Rhinolophus ferrumequinum: one gene and its partner. The protein of the gene in region 1 interacts with the protein of each later gene in a biochemical or structural test. Links are inferred from orthologs where the notes say so. Each region holds a gene or a part of one and is shown in the gene's direction. Other genes may lie near its edges.

Region 1 (11,899 bases):
CATGTGTTATGAAGCTTTTTCATATAGGTCAGTCTAAGAGGTGAAATGCTACCTAATTTTATTTTTGTTAGCGAGCTTGAGCATCTTATGTGTTTAAGTGTCATCTGTATTTTTTCCCCATATAATGTCTATTCATATCCTTTCCTCATTTTAAAATTGCTTTGTTGATCATTTATTGATTTATAGGAATTCTTCATGTATTTGGGAAATGAACCCTTTGTCTATGAAATTAGCAGCAAATATTTTCCCCAGGTTTTCTTTTCCTTTTACTTTACTTAGAATTGTTTATTTAGTATATTTTTGCCTGCCAGAAGATTTTGTTTTTATGTAGTTGAGGCTTTTATTATTTTTGCTCCTGTATATTTTGTCAAATCTATAGCGATCTTCTCTACTTCAGGATTATACCAAAACAAACAAGCAAACAAACAAAATTCCCAAACAGCCTGTCATTTATTTAAGTACTTTTATAATTTCACATTTCCATTTAAAGAAAACATCAACTAGAAGAAGATATTTACAACTGTACAAATATAACTGACATCTGGTATCCAGAATATATAAATAATTCCTAGAAGTCAATAATAATAAGAAAAACCACCCCGACAGAAAAATGGACAAAATATATGAACAAACAATTCAGACAAGAAGAAATCTAAACAACAAATGCAAGAAGATGCTTGACTTCTCTAGTAATTTAGGGGAAAGCAAAGTCAAACAGCAATTTTACATAGCCATCAGATTGGCAACAATTTTAAGTCTGAATGTATAAAGAGCGGTGGAGTGGGGCCGGACTGGTGGCTCAGGCGGTTAGAGCTCCATGCTCCTAATGCCGAAGGCTGCCGGTTCGATTCCCACATGGGCCAGTGGGCTCTCAACCAGAAGGTTGCCGGTTCAATTCCTTGACTCCGGCAAAAGATGATGGGTTCCACCCCCTGCAACTAAGATTGAATGCAGCACCTTGAGCTGAGCTGCCGCCAAACTCCCAGATGGCCCAATTGATTGGAGTGCGTCCTCTCAACCACAAGGTTGCCGGTTGGACTCCTGCAAGGGATGGTGGGCTGCACCCCCTGCAACTAGCAACGGCAACTAGACCTGGAGCTGAGCTGCGCCCTCCACAACTAAGACTGAAAGGACAACAACTTGACTTGGAAAAAAGTCCTGGAAGTACACACTGTTCCCCAATAAAGTCCTGTTCCCCTTCCCCAATAAAGAAAAAAATCTTTTAAAAAAGTGGTGGAGTGTGCAGAAAACTGATGTGAATAAATTCTGGGTGGAAAAAAATTGGTGCGAACACTTTGGAAAGTGGATTGGCAATAGTATCTATTGACACTGAAATACTCCTACCCCTCCTGCCCCAAAGACCCCCCCACCTCCTGGAATTCCTGCCCTTGTGTAATCACCTCCCCGTGAGTGTGGGCTAGAACTAGTAATTCCCTTTAATAAAATATGATAAAAGTGTTAGGGTGTCACTTCTGAGATCTGCCTTGAAGAAATGTTAAAAAAAGTTCTTCATAAAGAAGAAAAATGATATAGCTCACACACAAAAGAAAGGAAGAACATTTGAGAAGGAGTAAATGAAAGTATAAATAAAATAAAATCTTCCATTTTTTTCTTATTCTTAACTGATCTAACAAAAAACTGTTCAACAAAATAGTAACAACAATGTGTTGGATGATTGTAACTTATGCATATGTGAAATGAACGTCAGCAATGCTATAAGGGACAGGAGGAAAAAACTGGAAATATTCGTTTACAGAATACCTGCACTACCCATGAACTAGTATGTAGTGTCATTTGAAAGTGGGCTTGGATTAGCTGTAAATGTATATTGCAAACACTAGGGTAACCACTGAAAAATGTGAAAATGAGAGATATTATTGAAATTTTAAGAGAGGAGAGAAAATGAAATCATATAACATGCTCATTTAAAATCAGAGATGGCAGAAAAAGAGTGGAAGACAAAAAAAGAGAGGAACAAAGAATAAGAGCAATGAATAGGAAACAGTTACAAATATGGTGGATATTAATCCAACTATATCAATAATCACTTTAAATGTGAATGGTCTAACTACACCAATTAAAAGGCAGAGACTATCAGAAAGGATTTTTTTTTTAAAGACCCAACTAAAAGGCACAGATAAAAGTAAATCGATAGAGGAAAATATACATGCTAATATTAATAAAAAGAAAGCTGGAATAGCTATGTTAATTCCAGACAAAGCAGATTTCAGAACAAGGAAAATTATCAGGTATAAATAGGCCCATTACATAATGATGAAAGGGGTCAATTCTCCAAGAAGACATAATAATCCTTAATGTGTACCTACCTGACAACAGAGCATCAAAATATGTGGGGCAAAAAGTGGTAGAACTACAAGGAAAAATAGATAAATCCACTATTATAGGTGGGAGACTTCAACACCCCTTTGTTAGTAATTGACAGATCCAGCAGGCAGAAAATCAGTAAGAACATAGTTGAACTGAACAGGACCATCAATCACCTAGATATAACTGACATCTATAGACTACTGCATCCAGCAACAGCAGAAACACATTCTTCTCAAGCTCACATGGAACTTTCACCAAGATAGACCACACCCTGGGCCATAAAACACACCTTAACAAATTTAAAAGAATAAATATCATACCAAGTGTCCTCTCAGACCACGGTGGAATTAAACTAGAAATCAATAACAGGAAGATAGATGGGAAAATTTCAAAATATTTAGAGATTAAACAACACACTACTATATAACATATGGATTAAGACGTCTCAAGAGAAATTTTAAGTATTTTGAAATAAATGAAAGTGAAACTATAACTTACCAAAATTTGTGGGATGCAGCAAAAGAAGTGCTTAGAGGGAAATTTATAGCATTGAATGCCTATTAGAAAAGAAGACAGATCTAAAATCAATAATCTAAGCATCTATCTTTGGAAACTAGAAAAAGAAAAGCAATTTTAATCCAAAGTAAGCAGTAGAAAAGAAATAATAAAAGAGCAGAAATATATGAAATTGAAAACAGAACAATAGAGAATATTAAAGACACCAAAAACTGATTCTTTGAAAAATATTAGTAAGGTTGGTAAGTGTCTAGCCAGGCTGGCAAAGAAAAAAGAGGGCAGACAAAGTTACTAATATCAGAAATTAGAAAGGAGCCATCACTACCGATCCCATGGACATTAAAAGGATAATAAAGACATGAAACTCTATGCCTACAAATTTGATAACAGATGAAATGGACAAAATCCATGGCACGCTTTTAATAAATAGGATAAAGCAAAAGTGTTGGGATGTCACTTCTGTGCTTAAGTCATAAAAGGACTATGTCTTCCATCTTGGGTGCTCTCCGGCACACTCTCTCACCAGCTGCCATGTTGTGAGGAGACTCAGGAAGTCTATGGATAGACCTACATGGCAAGGAATCGAAGCCTGACAGCAACTACATGATTGAGTTTTTTTTTTAATTAGTTTCAGGTGTACAAAGCAACATACTAGTTAGACCTTTAAACTCCTCATAAAGAGATAACTCACCCCCCAAGCTACTACCCCTCTGACATCTTATATAGCTGTTACAATACCATCGACTTCCTTTTGCTGTATGCCACATCCTGTGACTATAAATATATCTATGTATTTAGTTATAGTTGACATCCCATATTATTCTACTTCAGCTTCAGGTGTATAGCGCATTGGATACAGTCTATGAAGTGATCCCCTTGATAAGTCCAGTGCCCTTCTGGCACCTCACATGATCTTTACAACATTGTTGATTATATTCCCCATGCTGTATTAACTACCAATTCACCTTTTTCACCCTGCCCCCAACCCCATTACAATCTATCACCCTGATAGATCTAGTACCTACCTGGACCACATCTAGTTATTACAATATTATTGACTGTATCCCTTATGCTATACCCTACATCCCCATGACTACGGTGTAACAACCAATTTGTACTTCCTTAATCTCTTCCCCTTTTACTCATCCTTAACACCCCCCTCCCTTCTTAAAGAAGTCCCTCTAAGATTCCTTGTAATACTGGTTTGGTGGTGATGAACTCCTTCAGCGTTTTCTTGTCTGGGAAGCTCCTTATCTGTCCTTCAATTCTAAATGACAGCCTTGCTGGATAGAGTAATCTTGGTTGTATGTTGTTGCTTTTCATCACTTGGAATGTTTCCTGCCACTCCCTTCTGGCCTGCAAAGTTCCTGTTGAGAAATCAGCTGACAGTCTTATGGGAGCTCCCTTGCAGGTAACTAACTGCCTTTCTCTTGCTGCTTTTAAGATTCTTGCTTTGTCTTTAACCTTTGGTATTTTAATTATGATGTGCCTTAGTGTGGGCCTCTTTGGGTTCATATTGTTTGGGACTTGCTGCGCTTCCTGGGCTTGTATGTCTTTTTCCTTTGCCAGGTTAGGAAAGCTTTCAGTCATTATTTCTTCAAACAGGTTTTCAAATTCCTTGCTTTCTCTCTTCTCCTTCTGGTACCCCTATAATGCGAATTCTGGTATGCTTGATATTGTCCCAGCGGCCCCTTAAACTCTCCTCTATTTTTTTGATTCTTTTTTCTTTTTGCTGTTCTGGTTGGGTGTTTTCTGCTACCTTATCTTCTACCATTGCTGGTTGGATCCTCTGCTTCATCTAACCTACTGTGGATTCCCTGTAATATAGTCTTTATTTCTGTTATTGTATCCTTTATTTCTGACTGGTTCTTTTTCATGGTTTCCATCTCCATTTTTATGCTTCCTATCTCTCTGTTGAAGTTCTCCCTGAGGTCACTGAGCATTCTTATGACCAGTGTTTTGAACTCTGCATCTGATAGATTGCTTGTCTCCATTTCCCTCAGTTCTTTTTCTGGACCTTTGTTCTGTTCTTTTATTTGGGACGTTTCTTTGTCTCCCCATTTTAGCTGCCTCCCTGTGTTTGTTTCTATGTATTAGGTAGGGCTGCACATGACTGAGCTTTGAAGTAGATCTTCTGAGGCCTGCCAACAGCCACGTAAGAGTTTGGATGTGGACATCCCACCCCAACTGAGGCTGCAAGTGAGACTGCAGCCCCAGATGACAGCTTGAGTGCAACCTCATGAGAGACTGCGAACCAGAGGTACCCAGCTAAGCCATTCATAGATTTCTGACTCACAGTAATTGTAATATAACGAATGTTTGTTGTTTTAAGCTGCTAAATTTGGGGGCAATTTGTGACGCAGCATAGATACTACTACATACCCTTTGACCCAGAAACTCCACTTCAACATGCATATGCTAGAGCAGTTTTTTTCCCAATCCTTTTCACATCAGAGCACACGTTAAAAATGCTAATTTTTGTACCAGGGGCAATAGACTCCAGGGCAGCAGCTGAGTGAAGCCAGGTCCATCTTCCCTGGAGGGTAAGGGAATCAATATATCAGAACTGCCCCAGAGAAACTCTTCCATATGGCCACAAGAGCCATGCGCTAGGATGTTCATTAAATCCTCACCTATAATTGCACACAACAGAAATTGCCCAAGTCTATCAGATAGGAAAGAGATAAATAAATTGGATAATCATGCAACAGAAGTCCCTACAATAATATATTATGGTAAAATCATATTGGAAAATTGATTCAATAGTATTCAGCAGTTAAAAATGAATTACCTAGATTTCAATGTAGGAAATTGCTAAATTTACAAAAAATAAGTGAAAATTTAAGCCACAAAAGGATATAGTTATTATGATACCATTTTGGGAAAAGAAGAAAGATGAATAGGATAAAGTGAGGGCTTCAACTGTAACATTTTGCTTCAAAACAGAAGGACCTGAAGATCTGAAGAAAAGACAATTTGCTCAATCTGTGTGACAGGTACTTGCAAATGTGCATGTTTGTACTCTACTTTTCTGCATGTTTGGCATATTTGAAATATTTTTTGATAAAAATGCATCCTTTCTTGAGTGCAAAAATACATATACATTGGATCAGGCTTATTAATTTTGTCATTCAATCGCTGTATATCCTGATTTATTAGTCTATTTGATCTATCTATACCATAACAAGTGTGCTTCAGTCTCCTGCTAGAATTGCAGACTTTCTGATCTCTCTTTGTATTTCTAACAATATTTGCCTCATATATTTTGAAATTACATTGTTTGGTATGTAAATTTGAACGACTATATCTTCTCGGTGAATGAAACAACCTATTTTGTTCTCTTTAAAGCTTTTTACTTTGAGTTATTAATTTTTCTGATCTTAACATTACTACAAGTCTCTTTCCTTCCTTCTTTCCTTCCTTCTTCCCTTCTTTTTCTTTCTGTTTAAAATTTCTTCCTTCTCCTCCCTCCCACCTTCCCTCCCTTCCTTCTCTTCTTCCTTCTTTCATTTCTGCCAGTATTTAACTGGCATGTATGTATTTTCCAGTCCTATTTTTGCTTTAGGTGAGATTCATAGAAAGAGTGTATAACTGGATTTCTAAAAACGAAATGCTCAAAATGAGAGTTTGATTTTTAATAGGCAATGTGAATCCATAGTACGTACTGATGTATTTGGATTTTTGCCTGCCTTTTGCTTTGCTTGGGTTTTTTCACATCCCTTCTGGTTGCCTCTCACCCCATTTCTGCCCTTTGTTAGATTGAGTTTTTCTCTTTGTTCTACATATTACTTCTTTAATGGTTTGAAAGTTATACATCTTATTTCTATTCTGTTGTTACCCCTAAAATTTTTTTGTTCTTCTATCACGCATTTTATTTCCAGTAAGAACAAAACTTCACTGTTGATGTGAACATAAGGAAGTCTCCATTGGTAGCAAATATTAGAGAAACTAATGTTTTTAAACTGCAGAGCAATTACCAGAATGTGAACCTGTGTTGTGCTTCATGATTGATCATTTCTTGTGGATAGACAAGCTTGATTTTGTGATTAACAGCAACAAATTCTACTGGAAACAGTTCAATCTGCTTGAACCACCAGGTTAAAAAAATTTAAGCTTACTGCAATCCTAAATACAGTCTCACATTTTTAATACTTCCAGTACAAACCATAACATATAACATAGGATATGATATATTAATATAATTACTTTCACATTGGAATTAATCAAAAAGAATTTGCAGATTTCGTTTTATTAAAAAAAAAAAATCCAGAACAGAAGGGAATATGGCTAAATGGTTAACATTTGTTAAAGCTGGCTGTTGGTTACATTTCTCGCTGTCCTTTTCTGTATCCTTGACGATTTCATCATTTAAAATGAAATAAAGCTTTAGGCCCACCCCGGTTTGTCTAGAGCAGCTGCCGCCCCCGCCACATCAAGGGGGCGGCTCCAGCTGACGCTACCGTCACTTCCGCCGCCGCAGTCGCCGCCCTCCCGCTGCTGTCTGGCGGAGGAGGAGCAGGACCCAGAGCAGTGGCTTTGACGGTCGTGGCGGTCGGAGGTCCGCGAGCTCTGCTCCTCCCGAGAGCGCGCGTGTGACGGGACCGGTGAGTGAAACGCTGTTGGTTTCCTCCATTCATCCAGACGTGGCGGTGGGGCGAATGGCCGGGTACCGGGGCGAGGATTTCGGGGAGGTCTAGCGAACAGATTTTCCGGCTCGCCCCTCGGGAAGGGGTGGGGCGGACGCGGGACCTGACTGCAGACGGAGGCCTGTGTCATCCATCGGCCTGTTTGGGGGCCCCATCCTCTGTCCCTCAGCCCCTTTCGTGTGGCGCAGCACCCCCGCAGTCGAATGGCTTTAATCACTGTTAGAGAAGGAGTGGTGGTCGTGGCAGTCTCCCACCTTTCCCTGCTTCTCCTCCCCCCACCCTGCCTCCCTTCTCGGCCCCTTTGCAGAGCACTCTGTGGCCTTTCTGCCCCCATTTTTCAGTTGGTTTGCTGAATGGTAAATTGTTAAAAATTTTAGGTAAATATATTGTTTCCAGGAAAATAATTGTTTTCAGAAAAACACATTATTCCCAGGGAAAAAGTATACCCCCACCGACCTTTTCTTTCTGTTTTCCCCTTGCACGTTGATTGGGATCTGCCATTTGAGCTGATAACGTTTTCCCCTCTCTCCTTATGACATTGTCGCCCTTCCCCCTCTCTGTCTGTCCCCCTCATCCTCCTGCTGTCTCCTCCCGGTGTCTCTCAGGCGTGCAAGCTGGGGACACACACCCACAAACGCACTCATGCAGGGACTACACACACACACACAAGCACGCACGCACACATACACACAGAAACCTTCCATTAGAGCCCCCCTCCTTGCCCCTATACTCAAGGTTCCTGTGCGTCCCCTCCCCCATACACGCATGGACACACATGCTCACACTGTCACAGCCTTCAGTGCCTTCTCTCTCTCTCTCTCTCTCTCTCTGTCTCTCTGCCGGCCATATACCCACTTAAGGATATCCTATCTCTGGCTCATCTCCCATATATCCCTTACATATAAATGCTCCCCCACACGTGTTTACACACCCGTCCCAAATGCTCCTGTCTGCTACGAGTGTGCAAAGACAGCTCTCCTTTGCTGGTCCCTGTGGTGCACACACTCACAGAAATCCTTCTCCAGGGACACCTTCCCCCCCCCGCCCCCCGCCGCTAGCCACATTCATGCATACAGACATTCTTTGATTGCTGGCCACCCGACCACCGGTCACACATACATCCCTGTCCAGTGCTGTCTGCCATCTACATATTTGCTCAAACTGACATTTCCCCATTGTTGCCTCCCGTTTTGACGAACACACACAAACTCATGGACACTCCTGTCCAATGCCACCATACGCTTCTTTACCTGCCACAGACACATAAACGCAGGCGTCCCTCCAGACTTCCAGCCACCACACATACAACCAAACACGAACATTCTCTTTCATATTTACACACGCCCCTCTCCTCTAAAGCCGCCCCATCCACACCTGTCATTTTATACCCACAGCGAGAATGGGTCTCATTCTGTGACACAACTCTTCCCAATGCCACCGTCATCTGCCCCTTCCCCCTGCAAACACAGGCATCTGTCCATTGCACGATTGCTATTTCCCCTTCCACCTGCTCTTCTCCTCCTGACAGACACATGGGCACTCAATGCATATACACCGATCTGTATTTCCCATTCTATTTCTATTTGCAATTGTCCTGTATGTCTGCAGGGCTCAGAAAAACGCAGACATCACATAAAAAAAATCCCTCAGTGGTCTTTCCTTTCTCCATGTTGGCACAATTTCATAGTATTTCACCCACGTTCCAAGCATCCAGTCACCCCTGCCTCACGCCATCTTCTGTCAGATTCTCCTGAAGTCTGGCTTTCCTATAAACCCAGTTTTGTTATCATTTTGCCAACATCAAAAATGTGTTCCAGGTATACACCTGCCAGTCACTGGAATGCTACCACAGGCCTTAGAAGAAAGTAAAACTAATTCCAAAGGCCCCGTATTCTTTTTGTTACCTGCTGACTTGGAGCTAAATCTCCCTGTTCCTTTCTTCTGAACTGATTGGATTTTCCCATCTCCAGAGTGTGTGTGGGGCACAGGGGCCTTTCCACTTGAGCCTAGCTGTATTGCAAACCACCCCGAGGCAGAGCAGTGGGTCAGGAATCTAGCAAGCCTTTAGGGCCCAAGGCAGCAGGAGGGTATCAGGCCCACACAGGCAGGAGGTATGGAAGAAGGCATGCTTATGTCAGTTTCAGGCCATCCACGAGCCAGCAGGAAAGGATTTCCAGCCAGAGAAAGACGACATCTGAAGTCCCAATGCACAGACCAGCCCCCAGTCAGACCGCCAAGAGGAGCCGATTGCCACTGTCCAGTGTTCGTCGTCGCTGGGATGACAGTGAGAACTTGGGAAGCGGCCTGAATGTAGATAATGAGGACTACTCCAGGTACCCGCCAAGAGAGTATAGGCTTCTGGGTAGCAGAAGAGGAATGGCTTATGGACCTATTGACTCTTTGCGGGAAGATGAGAGCGAGGAGGAGGGGGCTGGGCCTGTGGCACTAGCGCCAGTACCAGTACGAGGGAAAACTGGCAAGTTTAAAGATGATGCAGAGAAAGGGGCAAGGTCTTTGGTTGGGATGCCCCCGCACTTGCCTGGTTTTAACCATGATGTGAGGGGCCAGTTTAGCAAGCTAGACCCAGCCCCCTCTGCCAGAGCTGGGTTCCTGCAGCAGAAGAGCATGGCTTCTCAGACCTCTGTTGTGGGCCGCAAGGTGGCCGCAAAAGGCGACAGCCTGGAGAGGGAGAGACGTGAGCAGAATTTTCCTGTGCGTCTCAGCAGGGCTCCTGTGAGTCTTTGTGGTGGTGGGGAAAACACCCCAAAGGGTGGAGAGGAACCCGTGGTGAGGCCCAAAATCAGAAATCTGGCCAGTCCCAGCTGCGCGAAACCAAAAATATTTTTTGATACTGATGACGATGACGATATGCCACACAGTACCTCCAGGTGGAGGGGTACTGCCAGCACTGATGAAGGCCCCTCAGATAGCCTGGCAAGAAGAGGCAGAGGTGAGAGTTCAAGTGGCCACTCTGAGCCGAAGTACCCCGAGGACAAGAGGGAGGCCAGGAACGAGCAAGTGAAGCCAGAAAAGCTGCCGAGACGGCGACGCACCATGGCCGACCCTGACTTCTGGACGTACAGCGACGATTACTACAAATACTGCGATGAAGAGTCAGACAGTGACAAAGAGTGGACTGCTGCTTTGCGGCGGAAGTATCGGGGTCGGGAGCACAACCTGTCGTCCAGCGGTGAAAGCTGGGACACCCTGCCAGGGAAAGAAGAGCATGAACCTGAGCCAGGCCTCGTGAATGGCGCTGCCGGCGCCAGCCCCTGCAGCAGTGGCAGCAAAGAACTTGAAGTCCGAGGACCATCTCTTCGGGAGGCGGAGCAGGCATCCCCGGAAGGAGGAGAAGCCCCTTGGCTGCAATACACTGAAAATGAGAGTGGCAGTGAGGGCGAGAATGATTCGGGCCAGGAGTTTCTGCAGCCTGGCGTCTTCATGCTGGACGGCAACAATAACCTTGAAGACGACTCCAGCGTGAGTGAAGACCTAGAGGTGGATTGGAGCCTCTTCGATGGGTTTGCAGATGGGTTGGGGGTGGCTGAAGCCATTTCTTACGTGGATCCGCAGTTCCTGACATACATGGCACTCGAAGAACGCCTGGCCCAAGCAATGGAAACTGCCCTCGCACACTTGGAGTCCCTCGCTGTAGATGTGGAGGTTGCCAACCCACCAGCGAGCAAGGAGAGCATCAACACTCTTCCCGAGATCCTGGTCACTGAAGACCACAGCGCAGTGGGCCAAGAAATGTGCTGCCCCATCTGTTGCAGTGAATATGTGAAGGGGGAGGTGGCGACAGAGCTGCCATGCCACCACTATTTCCACAAGCCCTGTGTGTCTATCTGGCTCCAGAAGTCTGGCACCTGCCCTGTGTGCCGCTGCATGTTCCCTCCCCCACTCTAAGACCAAGGCTCTTTACTCCTGGTCTGCTGATTTTCCCCATCCCAAATCCACAACACTGCAGGAGCCCTCAGAATTAACAAGTGAAATGAAACCAATGATTAATCTACACCTGTTGATTTCTTGTGATCATTTCCAATGTGAAAAGAGTTGTGTATGATTGCAGTAAAAGTCATACTGTCTTTTAGAGGTTAGAAAGGACAAACTAAACTTTCTAAATGCTACTTGACATTGCAGTAAGAACATACCTTTTCTAACCTGAACATTGAAATCAGTTGCATTCGTTTTCTTCAGTAGAATATGTTGCTGTTAACTGTAACGTCAAGTTCATCTGTTAAATAAGTCCAAAAGGCATCACCAGTTCTGTTGCATGTTATGGGTTAATGTTCCTGTAATTGCAGTGCCGTAAAAGCTTATTAAAATTCTTTTGGTATTTCATGGTATAGTGGAATTGTCTGGTTTTGTCTAAGACGGAGGTACTAAGTGCCTTTGTGATGGATCCCTTG
Region 2 (10,782 bases), on another chromosome or scaffold:
AGCTACTATGGAAAACAGTATTGAGGGTCCTCAAAAAGTTAAAAACAGAACTACCTTATGACCCAGCAATTCCATTTCGGGGTATTTATCTGATGAAATCCAAAACACTAATTTAAAAAGACATTTACACCCCCATGTTCACTGCAGCATTATTTAGAACAGCCAAGACACAGAAGCAGCCTAAGTGTCCATCAATAGATGATTCGGAAAAGAAGAGGTGATACATACTGAGGGGGGTGCCAAAAAAATATATACAAGTGCACACTTTGGTCGACATTTCTTAAGCAGTAGTTCGCCATAATCAAGTGTCTGGACGCTGATGGTAACCACTTTGAGCACCTCTTGTCATTGCAGAAGTCACATGTCACTTGTATTCATCTTTTGTTACTGGTATATATTGAGTAGTACAATTTTAATACAGTTTTCCTTTCTGAAAATGTGTATATATTTTTTGGCACCCTCTGTACATACAATGGACTATTACTCAGCCATAAAAATGAATGAAATCTTACCATTTGCAACAACATGGATGGACCTAGAAGATATTATGCTGAGTAAAATAAGTCAGAGAAAGAGAAATACCACATGATTCAACTTATATGTGGAATCTAAGAAACAAAATAAATGAACAAATTAAATAGAAACAAACTCCCAGATACAAAGAACAAATTGGTGGTTGCCAATGGGAGGGGTTTGGGGGGTAGGTGAAAGAGATTAAAAAGTACAGATTGGCAGGTACAAAATACTCACAGGGATGTAAAGAACAGCACAGGAAATATAGTCAATAATAACACAGTAACAATGGTGTCAGGTGGGTTCTAGATTTATCAAGGTGATCACTTCATAAGGTATATAAATGTCTAACCACTATGTTATACACTTGAAACTAATATTGTATTCAACAGTAATTGAAAAATAAATTTAAAACAAAGACTATTCTAGGGCCAGAGCTATTGATGCAGCCCTGAAAGCCTACCTGTGTCAGACGTCTGTGCTGCAGGAAGCCAGGAGGTAGCAGGGACAGCTGGAGCCCCCATTTCCTGAGATGTTTTGCTACTGTTGAGGATTCATTCCTGCAGAGTAGTTTTAAGTGGAGACCTCTGTTTGTCCTAGAAGTCACAGAGTTGTTGTCACTTAAAGAAAAATTGTCACATTAGGAAACTCGTTGTTTTACCAGCAGATGCTGTAGGAAACTCAGGAAGCTCCAGCATACCAACACCTAAGAAATGAGGAAATAGGCATTTCTTTGTTACTTTCAGGATGGGTTCTTTTCTTTCCATGTCCGTGAGACTTTCGAGTACTTTTGAGGACTTTTTCGTATATCAATACTGAAGAGTTTGCCTAACTCAACCCAGTCTTGCTTCAGGGGACCAGGCTGAGACCTGACCAGTGAAGGGCTTTTGTCAGGATGCAGAGCAGACTGGTGTCAGAGGAAGGATGAAACTGTTCTGTCAGCCGTGCAGCATAAAGATGTTCGTTCATCACCTAAAATACAAACAAACATAGTCTGGGATAGTGATGGAAATCATTATTTTAACCGCTGGCCCTACTCCATTTTAGTTTAACTTTTCAATGAAAAATTCTTTTTGTGTTATTGTTGGTGCAGAAAGTCTGGGCGCCCTAAGTGCATGCATTTGATGGTTCTCGTTCCTGGTTTATTCATCTTCTTTTCTGTCTCATGTCGTTAGACTTCAGAAGGAGCAACTTATTAATGAGATTCCTCACCTTGGCCTTCGTCAAGTTCTTCTTTTTAAAACAGGTTCACTGAGAAAGTTCACCTGTGTCAAGTACGTGATTCAGTGTTTTTTAGCATGCTTAGTTATGCAACCATCATCTTCACCTAATTTTATGACATGTTCAGTCACCCCAAGAGTAGTGATTCCCCCATTCCCCGCCTCCCCCAGTTCTAGGCAACCATTAATCAATCTACTTTTCGCCTCTGTGGATTTGCCTATTCTAGACATTTCGTGGAAGTTGCATTATACAATATACGCTGTTTGGTGAGTGGCTGTATTCATTTAGCATGTTTTTGAAGTGCATCCACATGATGGCCTGTGTTTGTCCTTCATTCTTTTTTAAAGCTGAAAAATACTCTGTGGTATTGGCATACATTTTCTCCATTCATCAGTAAGCAGACATTGGGGTCATTTCTACCTTTTCGCTACTGTGAACAGTTCTATCTGCCTAGTCCCTCGCAGGGTTAAATTAGCCCCGTCCATTCTCCTTTTCGGTGCGCTTGCCCTGTGGTTATCTATACCTCTGCTCAGGGCCAAAGTGGAGTCCAGGAGGAAAGAATGAGGTGTCTGTCATCGTGCATGGTGTGGCCACTGGAGAAATGCTTTGGGTTAAGCATGGAGAAAAGAGCTACTCTGGCATAGCAGGTGCTTCAGCGTGTGTTCTACGTTCTCTGAAACGCCTTTCTACATGGTAAATCACCAGGTTAGCTCATGTGTACATTCTATAAGGAGAAACAATCTTTCATGGTTTCTTACTTGCACTTATTGCTGGCAACTAAAATCATAAGCATGTTCCCCAACCACAGAACACTGCCAAGAACCCTAACTAAACTGTCAAATTTTATTCAGATCACCTCTCATTACATTCAGATATCTTTGCAGGTAATATTAACCGTGTCTATTGCCGTGACTTTGAAACAAACTCTTGTTCCTTAGTACCCTCTTTTCCTCTGTGTAATGGGTTTGGATGCCACTTAGCCAGAATTGGTTCAGTTTCAAGTGAGGGGAACCAACTTGAAGCAGATAAAGCAAAAGCAGATTTTACTTACTCCAGTAATTAGTCATCCCAGGAGTTCAGCCTTGCACTTGGGATCCAGGACTTCAGTTAGCACCATTCGGACTGTTTCTCCATCGCTTAGATCTCCTTTGAGTTGCCTTCACCATGTTGCAGATTATTCCCAAGCAAGGCAGAGATAGCTAGGCTTACATCCCCCTTCAGCTTGTTAGCTCAGAGAGAGCTCATATGAACCCCTAAAAGGAGTCTGACTGGACTCCCAATCCAGTCACTGTGGCCCGCCTGAATCACATGCACCCAGAAAATGAAGGCAGAGCTTTTTCCAGGGTCTCCTAGAAATGGGAAGAAGCAATTACCAAAGGGTAAAGATGCAGAACAGGGGCAAAAACAGCCAACGAAAAGAAATTATTGGCCACTATTGAGACCTCATGTGTTTGTAATTTTATAACTTAATAGACCTTCATGATTTTCGTAAGTAAAAGGCCGTGGGTCATCGGAAGATTTATATTTCTTGAAAAGAGAGTTGCTGCATTGCTTTTCCTACTGTCTACCCGCCGAAATAGCCCCTACCCCCACCCAACCCCTTTGCTCACATGCTGCACACGGCCCCCCTTTTCTTCCACTAGAAGAGGCAGCAGAGCCACTCGCACATGCTGGCTGCCTACTTTGATCATTGCTTTTATTCCCCCAACGTCCTTACTTACTTTTTTGTACTAGGTCACTGCCAGGAAATGTAAAACCTTCCTCTGATTCTGCAAGAAATACCAAGGAACCAAGAGAATGCAGTAGATAATAAGGATGATTAGAGCTTCTTGGCAGGCATTTGCTACCAAGGAGACGAAATAAAGCCATTAATTAGTGACGTCTAAACAGCAGTTGGTAGTAGGCATTTCTTTTTTCAATGCAACTAAATCTTAGCTAGCTAATTTTTTGCCTCAAATAATTTTTGTTTTCTTTTGGGTCTAGTAATAAAAGTACTAAAGTCATTAACATAAAGTGTTTGAAAATGTTTTTCTTTTTTTAACCACTTGTCTTTAGTACTTCACTGGCTAAACAAAAAGTCACAAATGTCCCATGCAAATTACACTGAATTTACTGGAAATTTGAATGTGTAAAACTGTTATGGCCTGGTGTCCCTGAGATGTTAAAATTGATTGAAAGTATATTTTCACTGATCTCCCAAAGCAAGAAAATAAACATTGCATTTCATTTTTAAAAGAAAATACTTTTAATAGCACTGTGATATATTTTTTCAGACTTTCGTCTGATTTTCGTGCACACGTGGTTCGCTGCAGTAAACATCTTTCTTCACACAGCGTTATGTAGTCCTCAAATATTTTCCTTAATATAAACGCCCTGGAAAGAAGCAAATCATTATCAATCTTATTTTGTTGATTTGGAAACTGAAAGGAGTGTCAGTAGCTTTCCCAGGGTCATACAGGTATCTAACTTAGGGCAGGCCGACTCCCAGACTTTTTACTTTTTCAAGGACACCACATCATGTTCCCTTTGCATTGTGTGGTTAAGGGCAGTCTCTGGAGGCAGAACGCCTTAGTTCAGGTTCAAATCTAGCACTTTCTTGCTGTAGGACCTCAAAAGAGTTAATATTCTTCTCTGTGCTTCAGTTTCTTCATTTGTAAGAAGAAAAACATAATAAATGGGGCCTCATGGGGTTGTTGTGGGGATTAAATGAAGTACTAGGTGCAGATCACTTAGAATAGGGTCTGACCTACAGTTACCTTTGTAATAATCATCAGCTGCTGTTGTTTATATTTATTATTATTAGTGTTAGTGTTGTTATTGCCATCACCATGACAACAATTTTCCCTCAAACACTATGTCAATCTAAGGTGGAGTGGGGGTCTGGGCTCCTTCTCCATGCAGTATATAAGCTTCATTCTAATATTATCATGTGATATTTTCTCACTTGTATTCTTCTGGACACAGTGTAGAGAGGTGTTTTAAGACTTTAAACTGGTATCTTTTCTCACCCATTTTGAGTTTGACAATCTGCTATCTGACTAAAGATTCCACTGATGGACACAGCTGATTTTCACAGTCACTGGGGTAGCTTGACTAGCGGGGCTACTTGGTAATTTAAGTGAACACTTTTGCGAGAAAAAAAAAAAAAAAAAAAAACACTGAAAAACCAGCCCAGTTGTTGACGATGGCTTTCATCTTATTTTCCATTTCTCTGTTATCTCATGGTTGCTGATTTTTTACTCAGGGCACAATTGGAGGAACCTTTTGCAGAATTCTCCGCTGCAGTAGTTTTTCTTTGATCCTCAGTCCAAATTTTAATTTGCAAGAAAACTGAAGCAGATGGATTTTCTCATTGTAAAAAAAAAATGAATGCCTCGATGATATATTTGTTTTTCATAGTAGTCTTCTGTCATTAAGATTGATGCTTGAGAATATATTGTTAGATCCTGTATGGAACAGAAAGTTATTACTCATAGTTTACCAGATTTTAGCGAGCATACTTGCATCATAACATGGAATATCATTTTACATTTAGTGCAGCTCCAGTGTCATTATCAGATTGCATTTTCATATTGAATTACTAACAAAAATTTTATGCTAACACTTAATGAAATTTTTAATAAGATTGTGTTTTGATGCTATTATTCAAATAATGTGTTTTGAATTGCTTTCCTTTGAATATATTTGCATTAAAGAGAAACTCAATTTGATTTGGTTCTTTGAAGAGGTTACCCACTTTCTGGGTAGTTTAAAAAGACAGAGGGAAATTGTTAATTCTTTGCAAGTCAGTAAATAGAAAAGGAACACAATTACTACGATCTGTAGAAGTAATGGCAGCAGACACAGATAGTTTGAGTTAATGAAATGACTCATGTTGGCTATTATAGTTGCACAATTAAAAAAATATATATATACACAAAGCACACATCACAGATTATGAGGGATGATACCCCTGGGTTCTCTTCTCTTTCTCATCGAGCCCTAAGGCAGATATTTTAAGAATTGAGAAATTTAAGAGATTCACATTATTGCAATTCTTGATCAGTGATGCCCAAAATTAAATGGTAATCTCTTGAGAGAACACGTTTCTCTGTTTGTAGCATCCTTTTTTTCCATTTCTGCTAAAACTGTGGTTGTGAGCCCAAGGCAGTTCACGTGATCACGTGCGTTCCAGAAGATAAACTCATTTGACCAAGCAAAACCACTGTATGTGGTGGCTTGGTCATAGTTGTCTAGCTGATGGAGTATAATGCAAAAATATAAACACTGAAATCGTGAAAAGATGGGGGGAGTCCTGCTTGCGAGGCAAGCCTGCTTTACCAAACATTCGTTTTTAATAGACTCTCAGGGGCATTCGTGAAAGTAATGGTGGTAAATGGTGAGGAGGGTTTAAACTTGTGCGAGGGGAGTGGCGAAGGCAAAACAATCTAGGCGTCTTCTGGGTCTTTTCTTTTTACGTCCAGCTGTGTGTAAAAGGAAATGCTTTTTCTTCACTTGCACGCTCTTCGCTTTCTCTTCACCTTATGTTTCTCCCCCATTCCTTGACTTCGCTCCATCTAAAACTATTCCCGACTTGAAAACACTTCCCTGAGCCTGTGCGGGCGCGAACGTAGCCGCACTCCTCTTGAGGAGTCTGGGCTCCGGTTCCCTGTCTGCGCGGCTGGGAACGGACGACACTTTTAAGCACCGACTAATAAAAGCACTGCGGTGACCCCGCGGGGCTGCGCAGAAAGCCGCGGCGGCCAAGAGACTCCGCGCACGCAACACGTCGCCTCCGTGACGCGCCGCGCAGGCCCCGCCGACGCAGCGCGCAGTCTCGACGCGGCGCGCGCTCCCTCTGGCCCCGCCCCGGCGTGTCGCGCGCCCCTCCCCCCCATCCTCGCCGCGCGCCGCTTTCCCTCAGCTGCCGCTGCTGCCGGTTACCGCCCGCCGGAGTCCGCGCGGTCGCCCAGCCGTCACCGCCGGCGACATGTTGCAGAAGCCGAGACACCGGGGCCGCCTTGGCGGCCAGGCCGAGAGGGAGAAGGACTGGGGCCGCGGCGGAGACAGCCGGGCCGCGAGAGGCGGCGTCGCCGAGGAGGCCCCGAGCACCTCCCGCGGGGTGGGCAGCTCGCCTCAGCGCGCCCGCCGGGCCGAGGCGTCCCCGGCCGTGGGGCCCAGGTCCCAGAAGCAGCTGGAGCTGAAGGTGGCCGAGCTGGTGCAGTTCTTGCTGATCAAAGACCAGAAGAAGATCCCGATCAAGCGCAGCGACATGCTGAAGCACGTGATCGGCGACTACAGGGACATCTTCGCCGACCTCCTGAGGCTGGCCGCCGAGCGCCTGCAGTACGTGTTCGGGTACAAGCTGGTGGAGCTGGAGCCCAAGAGCAACAGCTACATTCTCATCAACAGCCTGGAGCCGGTGGAGGAGGACGCGGAGCTGAGGGGCGACCAGGGCACGCCCACCACCGGCCTCCTCATGATCGTCCTGGGGCTCATCTTCATGAAGGGCAACAGCATCAAGGAGACCGAGGTCTGGGACTTCCTGCGGCGCCTGGGGGTGTTCCCCACCAAGAAGCATTTAATCTTCGGGGACCCAAAGAAACTCATAACCGAAGACTTCGTGCGGCAGCGTTACCTGGAGTACCGGCGGATTCCCCACACGGATCCGGTCGACTACGAATTCCAGTGGGGCCCGCGCACCAACCTGGAAACCAGCAAGATGAAGGTCCTCAAGTTCGTGGCCAAAGTCCACAAGCAGGACCCCAAGGACTGGCCCGCGCAGTACTGTGAGGCTTTGGCGGAGGAGGAGGCCCGGGCCCGGCCTCAGACGGCGGGCCCAGCCCCGTCCCTCGAAACCGCGGCGGGGAGAAGGGTCAAAAGCACCGGTTGAAGAGGTGGGGGTGGCGGGAGCACTTTTCTGTGAGGCTTAAATGTGTGTAGCTGTAGGATGTGTTTGCAGAGTTGTGTTCTGTTAGTACTACAAGGTACGTGGTTCCAAAGTGTCGTTGACAAAACCATTCGGGAGAGGATTTATTTGGCGTGTTTTACTGTCTGTATATGTGGGTATAAAAATTTGGCTAGCTTTGTAAAACTAATGGGAAAACGTTTGTGCTGTGATCTGGAACAGAGATTGAAGGAAGAACACATCAGTAAATTGCTTTGGCGCCCAGAAAATAAAAAGGAAGTGGCTGTTAACCTGGCCTCTTAACTACCCCAGTTTGTAAGGAAAAAGAAAAGCCTTTGCAAATTAAAAATAAAAATGTGACTGCCTGTATCCCTTTTTGCCTTAACACAGCTATTTTATATTTATATATTTCCTACATATGTAAGCATTGTTCCAAGCAATGTAAATGTTTTTTACTTTCATAACTACCACTTAGGTCGGTTTGGTTTTCCTTGTTTTTGCTACTATAGTTATAATAAATACTATATCTTTGAAGCAGTTATGCATTGTGCATTTTTTAAATTGTGAATCATGAGAAATTAATTTCATGACTTAAAACCAGCATCTTAAAGGCAGTTTTTGCTACATGTTAAGTGTTTTGTAGAAGTTGCTTTACTTTTTATATGTGTTCCTGCAGATTGGATCATGATGTACAATATATTTCTTACTGTGGGTCACAAAAAAGTTGATGAAACCATTAGTGATTAACCAGCCTACTTGAGAATCAGACTACCTGGATTTAGTCCTGGCTGCACCTACCGTGTTTTGCCAAAAATAAGACCTCACGGGACAATCAGGTCTAATGCATCTTTTGGAGCAAAAATTAATATAAGACCCAGTATTATATAAGACCCTGTCTTGTATTATAGTAAAATAAGACCGGGTCTTATATTAATTTTTGCTCCTAAAGACACATTAGAGCTGATTGTCCCGCTAGGTCTTATTTCCTGGGAAACAAGGGTAACTAGCCATATAAATTTGGGCAGGTTACTTAACTTGCTTAGGGATGTTTCCTCACCTAGAATATGGGCTTATGGTACCTCTATGATTGTGTGTGTGTGTGTGTGTGTGTGTAATGGTGTGATAGATATGGAAGTGTATGTAAAGTTCTTGGCACAGTGCTTGGTGTGGCCAATTTTAGTAATTCCTTAAATTTTTTTTTTTTAATTTGTTTATGATTCTTGGACTGGAACAGTTAAAAAATTTTTTAAGGTCTTTTTTCATTATTTTCCAAATCATTTCTAGAATTGGAATTACTGGTTCAAAAGTTATGACACTATTCTTCTAGTCTGACTCTTGGTTTTCTGGAGAAACATCACATGGTAGATATGTGGTGAGGAGAGCCCACATAAAATAGCTTAAGAGCAGGAAAGTTAGACTGGAGCTTTGAGGGTCACTGGTATAGTGAAAAGGGTGTGGGTTTTGCGGTTGACAAATTTGAATTATGGCCCATGCTATTTCAGCATGGGGATTTGGGGTAGCTTTTAAGCTCTCTGACTCTCAATTTCCTTATCTGTAAAATGGGGAAAATAACATAATAATAGTTTGTTACGTGCATTAAATGAGTGAAGAAAAGAGCTCATGGTCTCATAGTGTTCCCCCAGAGCTTCTGGCAAAATGTTGTTGGTACACAGAGTCAACAAATAAGTATTCAGTGGAGGAGGAAGTAGTCGTTTGGGGGAAGGTACTGCACATCCACCATGAAAGGCGATACTTTAGCTCAAAAAAAAAAGTAGATTTGATCACCACTCAACAGAGAAATGTCATCTGGAAGAGTGGTGGGTGGGTATATGGTATGCGCTGAAATGGAGAGCGCAGTCGGTTCCTTATTGGGCTTTATTTCTTCCTGTTGAACCGGAATTTGCATTTATTTCATCAATGGAGTATAGTTGGTCCTTGAAGATTTTTTTCGTTTGCATTTTATTTTAGTGTATAAATTACCTTCACTAAAGCATCCTGCTTACTGGTCCCCTTAATCTCACTGACTGCCTTCCCCTCTCGTGTGTTCTAATACTGACATTTTCATCTTTATGGTGAAATTATCATTACCCAACACCCGTTGTTCCTTACATCTCAGGCAAATACCCTCTCCCACACTTTTCTCATAGAGAAGTTAATTTACCATCAATGAATTCTCCGTAATCCTAATATTTGTAAAGATATTTCCTAGTATTTTAAGTTTTTAAAACTTTGACTTTCATGTTTATGTTTTTAATCTGTTTTTGTGTATGATGTGAAATATGGATATAATTTTCACGTTTTTCCTATATGGATCGCATAGCACCAGTTTTTTTATAGTTCATTCTTTCCACACTGATTTATAATATACTCTTTATTATATAGCTGTTTCTCATATGTAAGCAAATTTATGGCTCGAAGTGACTTGGTTTATTTGCTGTCCATTTGCCAATATCATGCTATAATTCTATAGCATCATAATATGTTTTGTTTTGTTTTTCCAATTCTTTTGTGTTTTTTTTTTCTTTTTGTGAGCAGTGTTGATAAGCTTGAGCGGTGGTTCACCAGGTGGAAAGGGGAACAAAAGGGATTCAGCCATAAATAGAGTATGTGCAAAGGCCCTGAGGCATAAATAAGCACGCTGGTCCCTACAAAGCCAAATCATCTTATAAGACATGGTGATTAGCAGCATTAGATGGAACCAGAAAGCTTATAGTGGGCCAGGCTATCATGGGCCTGACACTCCACGTGGTTTGGACTCGCCTGTAGGTCAATGTTTCAAATTTCACCTAATTTCAGCCATTCAAGTACAGTTGACCCTTCAACAACAGTGGTTTGAACTCTGTGGGTCTACTTATACGTGGATTTTTTTCAGTGAATACCTGTACTGTTTTCGATCAAAGGTTGGGAGTCTGCAGACATGGAGGGCCGACTGTATGCGTTCCTCTGCCATTTTATATGGGGGACTTGAGCATCTGTGGATATTGGTATCCTTAGGGGTCCTAGAACCAATCCCCCCAACCTACCCCCAGCTACCAAGGGACAAGGGTTGATGTAAGAATGTCCAAACCTGAAGAGAATTCTTACAAAAAATTCATTTGAGCCAGGCAGAGGATATGCTTGGAAGCAAGCTCTCCACAAACTGAGAAAAACACTTCCTCTTC

Evidence for each region.
Region 2: the proteins of PJA1 (region 1) and NSMCE3 form a complex in vitro, tested with the Homo sapiens proteins (2 studies listed by BioGRID). The link is inferred for Rhinolophus ferrumequinum from reciprocal best matches to the Homo sapiens genes PJA1 and NSMCE3.

The regions. Positions count from the first base shown.
Region 1 is NC_046284.1:3,153,349-3,165,247, forward strand, and holds PJA1 (E3 ubiquitin-protein ligase Praja-1), read left to right. Parts: upstream 1-7,318; 5' UTR 7,319-7,448; intron 7,449-9,628; 5' UTR 9,629-9,695; coding exon 9,696-11,396; 3' UTR 11,397-11,831; downstream 11,832-11,899. UniProt on the Homo sapiens protein: Has E2-dependent E3 ubiquitin-protein ligase activity. Ubiquitinates MAGED1 antigen leading to its subsequent degradation by proteasome. May be involved in protein sorting.
Region 2 is NC_046311.1:13,568,969-13,579,750, forward strand, and holds NSMCE3 (non-structural maintenance of chromosomes element 3 homolog), read left to right. Parts: upstream 1-6,623; 5' UTR 6,624-6,703; coding exon 6,704-7,606; 3' UTR 7,607-8,158; downstream 8,159-10,782. UniProt on the Homo sapiens protein: Component of the SMC5-SMC6 complex, a complex involved in repair of DNA double-strand breaks by homologous recombination. The complex may promote sister chromatid homologous recombination by recruiting the SMC1-SMC3 cohesin complex to double-strand breaks.